2 linked regions of the Neodiprion lecontei genome follow. The protein of the gene in region 1 purifies or fractionates together with the protein of each later gene. This does not show direct contact. Links are inferred from orthologs where the notes say so. Each region holds a gene or a part of one and is shown in the gene's direction. Other genes may lie near its edges. The genes, in order: glycine--tRNA ligase; isoleucine--tRNA ligase, cytoplasmic.

Region 1 (3,926 bases):
ATCTATAGTTTAGTCCATCATGCTTTAGAGCGAAATATAATTTAGTGTTTTAATCTTTGTCTTCCGTTTTTTCTTCTGCTACAATTGCAGTTTAGTTGGCAGTCTCACAGGCATCAATCCAATCATTATAGACATCAAGAGGCTCTGATAATAGGTTTATGGTTGTTTGAAAGTCCTCCATACATACACGACACGTTATTCTGGCCGTGTTCCTTGATTTGTCCCTGAAAAAAATTGGCCATTTAATATGATAATCGGTTTTAAAGTGACAAATATATCTAACAACAACGCAATTATCCGTATCTTGTGTTTACTCACATCTTAACCTCGCAGGATTTTTCGTGGTTGCAAAACGGACAATTGAACTGGGTGTCAAGCGGTTCGATCGCCTTTCGTTTACTCGGCGGTTTCCTTTTGCTCTTTCTACGTCCCATTGCGTCTCAATAACTAAAGTCTTTCTTCCAAATACAAATATTTAATGATAAACTCTGTTTACACTTCTCCCCGTTCTTTCAGTTGTCACCGGCTGCCCGCTGACTTATCTGAACGTCGAAGTAGACGCTTCAGTTGACAGTTCTGCCACTACACCGGGTGCTAATTTCTCAGCAAAGTACTTCGTACGTTCCGAAAGTATGGCAGGTACAAGGTGAACTTCGAACAATGACGTCATATGATACGAATCCAACTCGTATATCCGAACACGCACAACGATTGTGACCGGTCAGTAGCTTTGCTACTGTTTGTTGCACTCAGCTGTATTCAACAATCGCCAACCATAGGCAATCATAAACCTATGCCAATTCCGAATATGATCAATGTAATGCAACTAGCACTTCAAAGAAGGAATAATTATATCTCTCCGTCCTAATTCCGTTCTAATTATTAGGAAGAAAAAAAAAGGATTTTTCCCATCTACGAAGTCTAACCTTTCCCATTTCTTTTCATCTTACTCGTGCTGTTTCCGGTAGAATCTGACAACTATACGGTAGTCGGTAACCAGCGTGCCAATTCCCCGGCGAAAACTGGGGATCGAGATCGCTGCGAATGCAGATTTTTCTCCATACTGTGCGAGCCACATGCAAGTTTGGAGCTCGGTACGGGATCAAATATCTCAGGTTCCTCGATCAAATTTCAAGAAATCTTGCTGTTAGTTCGAGGTTATATTCCGAAACTCCTCAGTGGGGCTCGAAGAAGAAGCACAGAAAAGTAAAGCTGCACTTTCAGCTACAGAGTATGGCAGATCCAAAGATAGAAGAGGTCCTCGCGCCCCTGCGATCAAGTGTCAAGGAGCAGGTGAGTGCCATATGGCTTCAGATTTTTACTCCAAAAAAGTTTTCATTAACAACACAATGTTTGGAAACTTTTTGTATTTCGGTTTATTCAAGAATTCGCGAAAAAAAATTAAGAAAACTGCATGTATTTCCCCTCTAACAAAATCCGTCTGTGTATTGCATCAGAGTAAGCATGGCTTTCTTTCTTCTCGTCCAATAATCTTGTCACTCTGGCTTATAATTTTCTTTTTTGTTTCTTAAAGGGGGACCTGGTCCGTAAACTTAAATCTGATGGAGCACCAGACTTTGATGTCAAGAAGGCTGTTGCAGAGCTCAAGGCACGTAAAAAGCTCCTTGAGGACAAGGAACTGTCGCTGATCCCATCGGCGTCGTTTGATCGTGCAAAAATGGAGGATCTTCTGAAGCGAAGGTTCTTTCTTGACCAGTCGTTTGCCATCTACGGTGGGATAACAGGACAGTATGATTTCGGTCCAATGGGATGTGCCTTGAAATCAAATTTCCTTAGCGTCTGGAGAAGCTTCTTTGTTTTAGAGGAACAGATGCTAGAAGTTGATTGTTCCATCCTAACGCCTGAACCGGTTTTAAAAGCTTCTGGACATGTGGACCGATTTGCAGATTTAATGATAAAGGATGTAAAGACTGGAGAATGCTTTAGGCTAGATCATTTCATAAAAGCACATTTGGAGAAAGTTTCATTGGACAAGAAAACTGACGAAAGTTTGCGCGCTGAGTGCCAAGACATCATCATCAAGTTGGATGGTATGAGTAAGCAAGAACTAGCAGCAGTTGTGTCGAGATTCAACATGAAATCACCGATAACTGGCAATGATCTAACGGAACCTATCGAATTCAATTTGATGTTTGCCACGCAGATTGGCCCATCTGGACTGATCAAAGGGTTCTTGAGGCCGGAAACTGCTCAAGGAATTTTCGTGAACTTTAAAAGGCTGTTGGAATTCAATTCAGGCAAGCTTCCCTTCGCTGCTGCACAGATTGGTAATGCTTTCAGAAATGAAATATCACCGAGATCCGGACTCATCCGTGTCAGAGAATTCACAATGGCTGAGATTGAACATTTTTGCGACCCCAACGATAAAAATCATCCGAAATTCGAGTCTGTGAAGCACACTAAGATGCATCTCTACTCTGCATGTAGCCAAATGGATGGGAAAAGTGCAGAATACATGGAAATTGGAGAAGCTGTAAAGACAGGGCTAGTAGACAATGAGACTCTAGGATACTTCATGGCTAGGATCCAGCAGTTTTTACTCAAAGTTGGAATAGATCCTGCTAAGTTACGCTTTCGGCAGCACATGGGCAACGAAATGGCGCATTATGCTTGCGATTGCTGGGACGCTGAATGCTTGACGTCCTACGGCTGGATAGAGTGTGTTGGATGCGCAGACAGGTCCGCGTACGATCTTACTCAGCACACTAAGGCGACAGGGGTCAGATTGATCGCTGAAAAGAAGCTGGCTGAGCCAAAAGTCGTTGACGTTGTCGAAGCATTCCCGAACAAGGGTGTCCTAGGTAAAGCATTTAAAAAGGAAGCCAAAGCAGTTTTGGACGCACTGGCTGCGTTGAATAAAAACGAAATCGCGGTGCTTGAAGGAAAAATAAGTAAAAACGAGGACTACGATCTCGTTTTGCATGATGGGGCATCAATCAAAATTACAAAGGACATGGTCTCGATAAAACGTTACCAAAAAACTTTACACGTTGAGGAAATCACACCGTCTGTCGTTGAACCCTCATTTGGTGTTGGTAGAGTCATGTATTCTCTCTTTGAACACAATTTCCGGATGAGAGAAGGTGATGAGCAAAGGACATACTTGAGTTTGCCTCCAGCAGTGTCACCCCTGAAATGTTCTGTCTTGCCACTCAGTGGTAATACAGAATTTACACCATTTATTAAGAAACTATGTAAGTGCCACCCATAATTAATGGGTGTAAGCCAACAATTTTTCACCTTGTTCAGATATCTTTTATGTACTATCTAAAATTGACCTTATTTTGTCATTTTAGCACAAGATTTGACTGCATTCGACATATCCCATAGAGTAGACGACTCTTCAGGCAGTATCGGTAGAAGATATGCTCGTACAGATGAAATTGCCATACCTTTTGGCATTACAATAGACTTTGATTCTCTGAAGACTCCGCATACAGCAACCCTTAGAGAACGGGATAGCATGGATCAAGTCAGAATAAATGTAAGTTTCTTATATTGATCAGCCGGCTGTAATGTGCTATACTTATCTTACCAAACCAAAATTGAGCTTTTGAAAACATCTTTTTTTTCCATATCTTTAAAACGTTTTGGGAGTTTAAACATGTGTTCTTCTCTGTTTCAGTTGGACGAGCTCCCAACCGTGGTGAAAGACTTGTCTCTATGTAAAATAACATGGGCTGAAGTAGCACAAAAGTATCCTAAGTTTGAACAACAAGAGAATGCAAAAGCATAGAAATCAGCATAATATTTAAAGTAAATTAGGCAATGCATGTTTTTTTAAAGTCATTATGCAAATGCAAATGAAATTATTAAGCCTTGGAAGCTGAATTAAGGGTTAGAAACAAAATTTTAACCTCGAGAATTGACCTTGAATGCTTGTTGGCATAATGGTATGTTATTTT
Region 2 (3,926 bases), on another chromosome or scaffold:
CCCACCACTTAAACGGCATCATCGGTAAATTCAAACGTAGATTATTACATCAGTTACGAAACACAATTCGATCTCGCGAGTGCCGAGTAAGCGATGGTTACCTGTCGCGATGCTCATTCCACTTTAAGCAACGTGTATAATCTCTAACTAGAAGTAAGCTACGCTAAATTGCATTGCGAAAAAAAATTATTCAACCGAAAGTTAAGCACGTTGCGATCGTGAATGAGCCTAACCATGCAGCTAAGAAATCGAAGATTTGTGTAACAATTGTTACCGCCACGCCACGTGACAGGGGAATACCAGGGAAAAACCCGTAACCTAACACATGCAAACTCACCAGCGTTGCCGAGAAATGGAGAAGTTACTCGGAAGTCTCTGCTTAAATCTGTGAAAAGCAAAACAAAACACTTGAATTAATTTAGGAAATCGGCTTTTCAGATTTCAAGTCAATTATTACTGTTATCGAGATTCATATTTATACATTGCATGTTATGCAAGAACAAAAGTTCGGCTTTAAATGACCACCGTGAATTATCAATCAATAATTAAAGTATTGTTACCTCGACTCTGGGCTGCTCCACACTTTAACACGTAGTAGTTCTTGTAGCATCTCAGGTTTATTGGTGAAGTGACGCATTTTTCACACTATTCAGATCTTCAGTAATTTCTTATAATCCGAAAATCCGCACCGTAACGATACTCGATTCTACACTCACTTTCTGTGCTGTAGCAGTATCTTTGAACCGACCAAATAAATTTGCTAACAACGGAACTGCGCATTTGCCGAAAATCAGCCAAAGAAAAAAAAGAATAAAATTGACACTCGTTGCACAGAGCCAAAAATAGACATCACTTAAATCTGAAATTACATAAAACAATGAAAACTCGGGACACGAAATTCACCTTCACCATTCGCAGGGTGTTTTTATTTCAGTCACTCGGTTTTTCCACAGGCTACACGCTGCTCATCGTGTATTACTCACAGATGAGTATGGTGGAAATACACTGATCGAACAACGTGACACCACCTGAACAACGCGGTCTGAATCTTGAACCGATACTGAGAACACGTTATTTCACTCCGATTGCTTGGAAACGACTGATGCACGGCACGACGCTCAGAAGAGATTTAACTGTTCTCTGAACGATGGAAGATAATAATTCGCGCGCCCTCTCTGTGGCTCTTCCCATGGAGTGGGGGTAGCTGCACATACCTGCCTAGGCTTTTCATCCCCCCTCTCGTAGCCCACACTCCATGGGTAGAGCGACAGAGAGAGCGCGAGAATTATTATCTGCTGTCCTTTAGAGAACCGACTCGATTCCGTTCATAGGACAATTAAACCATTGCTTACGCTCTATTTTACATATCTATGGTTTCAACGGCCAACAAACTCGTATCATCAGGCTAGAACACTAGAACAGTGATTGTGAGAATATAACCATAGTATAACCTAAAAACAATTTGCAACTTCTGCTGATGAGAGAAGCACGTTGCGTTGAGGTCGTTTGAACAGCCGGTGTGAAACTTTTTATTTATTTAAACTAAAATCGGTTTTTTGCTGACTATTGCATAGAGTATTTGCACAGAGTCGTGAAGGAAGATGTGTGAATTCACACGTGAATAGTTTTCTGCTGCTAATACAATAATATCAAATCAATCTAATACGGCTGCGAAGTAGCAGGTTGCATCATTCGTTTATCACAAAGTATCTAATTGTAACACTGCAATGACGGAAAAACTACCAGATACAATAAACTTTCCCAAAGAGGAAGAAGTCATCCTCGAGTTATGGAAAAAATTGGACGTATTTAATACTTGTTTAAAACAGTCGAAAGGCAAACCTAGATATTCCTTCTTTGATGGGCCACCCTTTGCTACTGGTATGCCACATTATGGTCACTTGTTAGCAGGGTCAATAAAGGACATAGTCACGAGGTATGCACATCAGCGTGGGTTTCATGTTGAGCGAAGATTTGGCTGGGACACACATGGCTTACCAGTAGAGTTCGAAGTCGACAAAGTGCTTGGGATCAAGGGCCCCGATGATGTAGCCAAGATGGGGATAGCCAACTATAACAAAGAATGTAGAAGCATTGTAATGCGCTATGCGTCTGAGTGGGAAACTATTGTTGGAAGGATTGGACGATGGATCGATTTTAAGAATGACTATAAAACTCTTTATCCTTGGTATATGGAATCCATATGGTGGATCTTTAAGGAATTATTCAACAAAGGTCTCGTATATCAAGGTGTAAAAGTAATGCCCTTCTCTACCGGATGTAATACTCCATTATCCAATTTTGAATCTGGTCAGAACTACAAAGACATCGCCGATCCTTCGGTAGTAATCGCTTTTCCACTGCTCGACGAACCTGGAATATCTATTTTGGCTTGGACGACAACCCCGTGGACTCTTCCCAGTAACCTGGCATTATGTTGCAATCCGAATTTTGAGTATGTCGAGGCGAAAGACTTGACTACGAATAAAATTTACGTCATACTTGAGTCAAGTTTGAACCTTATATACAAATCTAAAGATCAGTATGCATTAGTTGGTAAGAGGAAGGGCACTGACCTTAAAGGTAAACGCTATGAGCCACCATTTAACTACTTTTGCGATCTGAGGGAAAAAGGAGCCTTCGTGGTATTAAACGACACTTACGTAACTGCTGAAACTGGTACTGGAATTGTTCATCAAGCACCATACTTCGGAGAGGATGATTATCGCTGCTGTTTGGCAGCAGGAATAATAACTCGTGATCAGTCTGTTGTCTGCCCTGTTGATAACTGCGGTAATTTTACAGAGCCAGTAAGTGACTTTTTGGGTCAGTATGTCAAGACTGCTGATAAAAATATCATAAAGCATCTGCAAGGAAAAGGAAAACTTGTTCACAGTGGAACCAGCAAACACAAATATCCCTACTGTTGGAGGTCCGATACTCCGTTGATCTACAAAGCAGTTCCATCTTGGTTTATTAGGGTTGAACAATTCAAAGACAAGCTAATAACCGCAAACTCTGAAACTTATTGGGTGCCTGAATATGTTAAAGACAAACGTTTCGGTAATTGGCTTCGAGATGCTAGGGACTGGGCCATCAGTAGAAATCGTTACTGGGGTAATCCCATACCGCTCTGGGTGTCCGAGGACAAAATGGAAATTGTGTGTGTTGGAAGTATTGCAGAATTAGAGCAGTTGACTGGATCCAAGATTGAAGATATTCACAGAGAAAGTATAGACCATCTGACCATTCCTTCTAAGCGTCCTGGGCATCCTCCTCTTAAACGTGTCACGGAAGTATTTGACTGTTGGTTTGAATCTGGATCCATGCCTTATGCTCAAATGCATTACCCTTTTGAACGAGTCAAAGACTTTGAAGATAGTTTCCCAGCTGATTTCATCGCCGAAGGTATCGATCAAACTCGTGGTTGGTTTTACACCTTGCTGGTAATTTCTACAGCATTATTTGGAAAGGCACCGTTCAAAAATCTAGTTGCTAATGGTCTGGTCCTTGCTGCCGATGGTCAGAAGATGTCGAAACGAAAGCAGAATTATCCAGATCCAAAAGAAGTACTTAATAAATTTGGGGCTGATGCTCTAAGGTTGTACTTGATCAACTCCCCAGTAGTCAGGGCTGAAAATTTGCGCTTCAAAGAAGAAGGTGTGCGAGACATTATAAAAGACGTATTTTTGCCATGGTATAACGCATTTAGATTTTTGATGCAAAATGTTGAGAGATTTGAACGTGAAGAAAAACTACCATTTAATTACAATGAAACCAAGAAGATTTCTGACTCGTCGGACAATATAATGGATAGATGGCTCACCTCTTTTACTCAGTCATTGCTGCAATTTCTAAAAGAAGAAATGCAAGCTTATAGACTTTACACTGTCGTACCTCGACTGATAAAATTTATAGATAATCTA

The links.
Region 2: the proteins of glycine--tRNA ligase (region 1) and isoleucine--tRNA ligase, cytoplasmic fractionate together in Homo sapiens (co-fractionation; 3 studies listed by BioGRID). This does not show direct contact. The link is inferred for Neodiprion lecontei from reciprocal best matches to the Homo sapiens genes GARS1 and IARS1.

Annotation. Positions count from the first base shown.
Region 1 is NC_060263.1:40,313,372-40,317,297, forward strand, and holds the start of glycine--tRNA ligase, read left to right. Parts: upstream 1-767; 5' UTR 768-1,044; coding exon 1,045-1,293; intron 1,294-1,534; coding exon 1,535-3,215; intron 3,216-3,317; coding exon 3,318-3,505; intron 3,506-3,646; coding exon 3,647-3,757; 3' UTR 3,758-3,926. Other genes in the region: transcription elongation factor 1 homolog, read right to left, coding at 92-224, 319-434. UniProt on the Homo sapiens protein: Catalyzes the ATP-dependent ligation of glycine to the 3'-end of its cognate tRNA, via the formation of an aminoacyl-adenylate intermediate (Gly-AMP).
Region 2 is NC_060260.1:8,081,690-8,085,615, forward strand, and holds the start of isoleucine--tRNA ligase, cytoplasmic, read left to right. Parts: upstream 1-1,300; 5' UTR 1,301-1,727; coding exon 1,728-3,926. UniProt on the Homo sapiens protein: Catalyzes the specific attachment of an amino acid to its cognate tRNA in a 2 step reaction: the amino acid (AA) is first activated by ATP to form AA-AMP and then transferred to the acceptor end of the tRNA.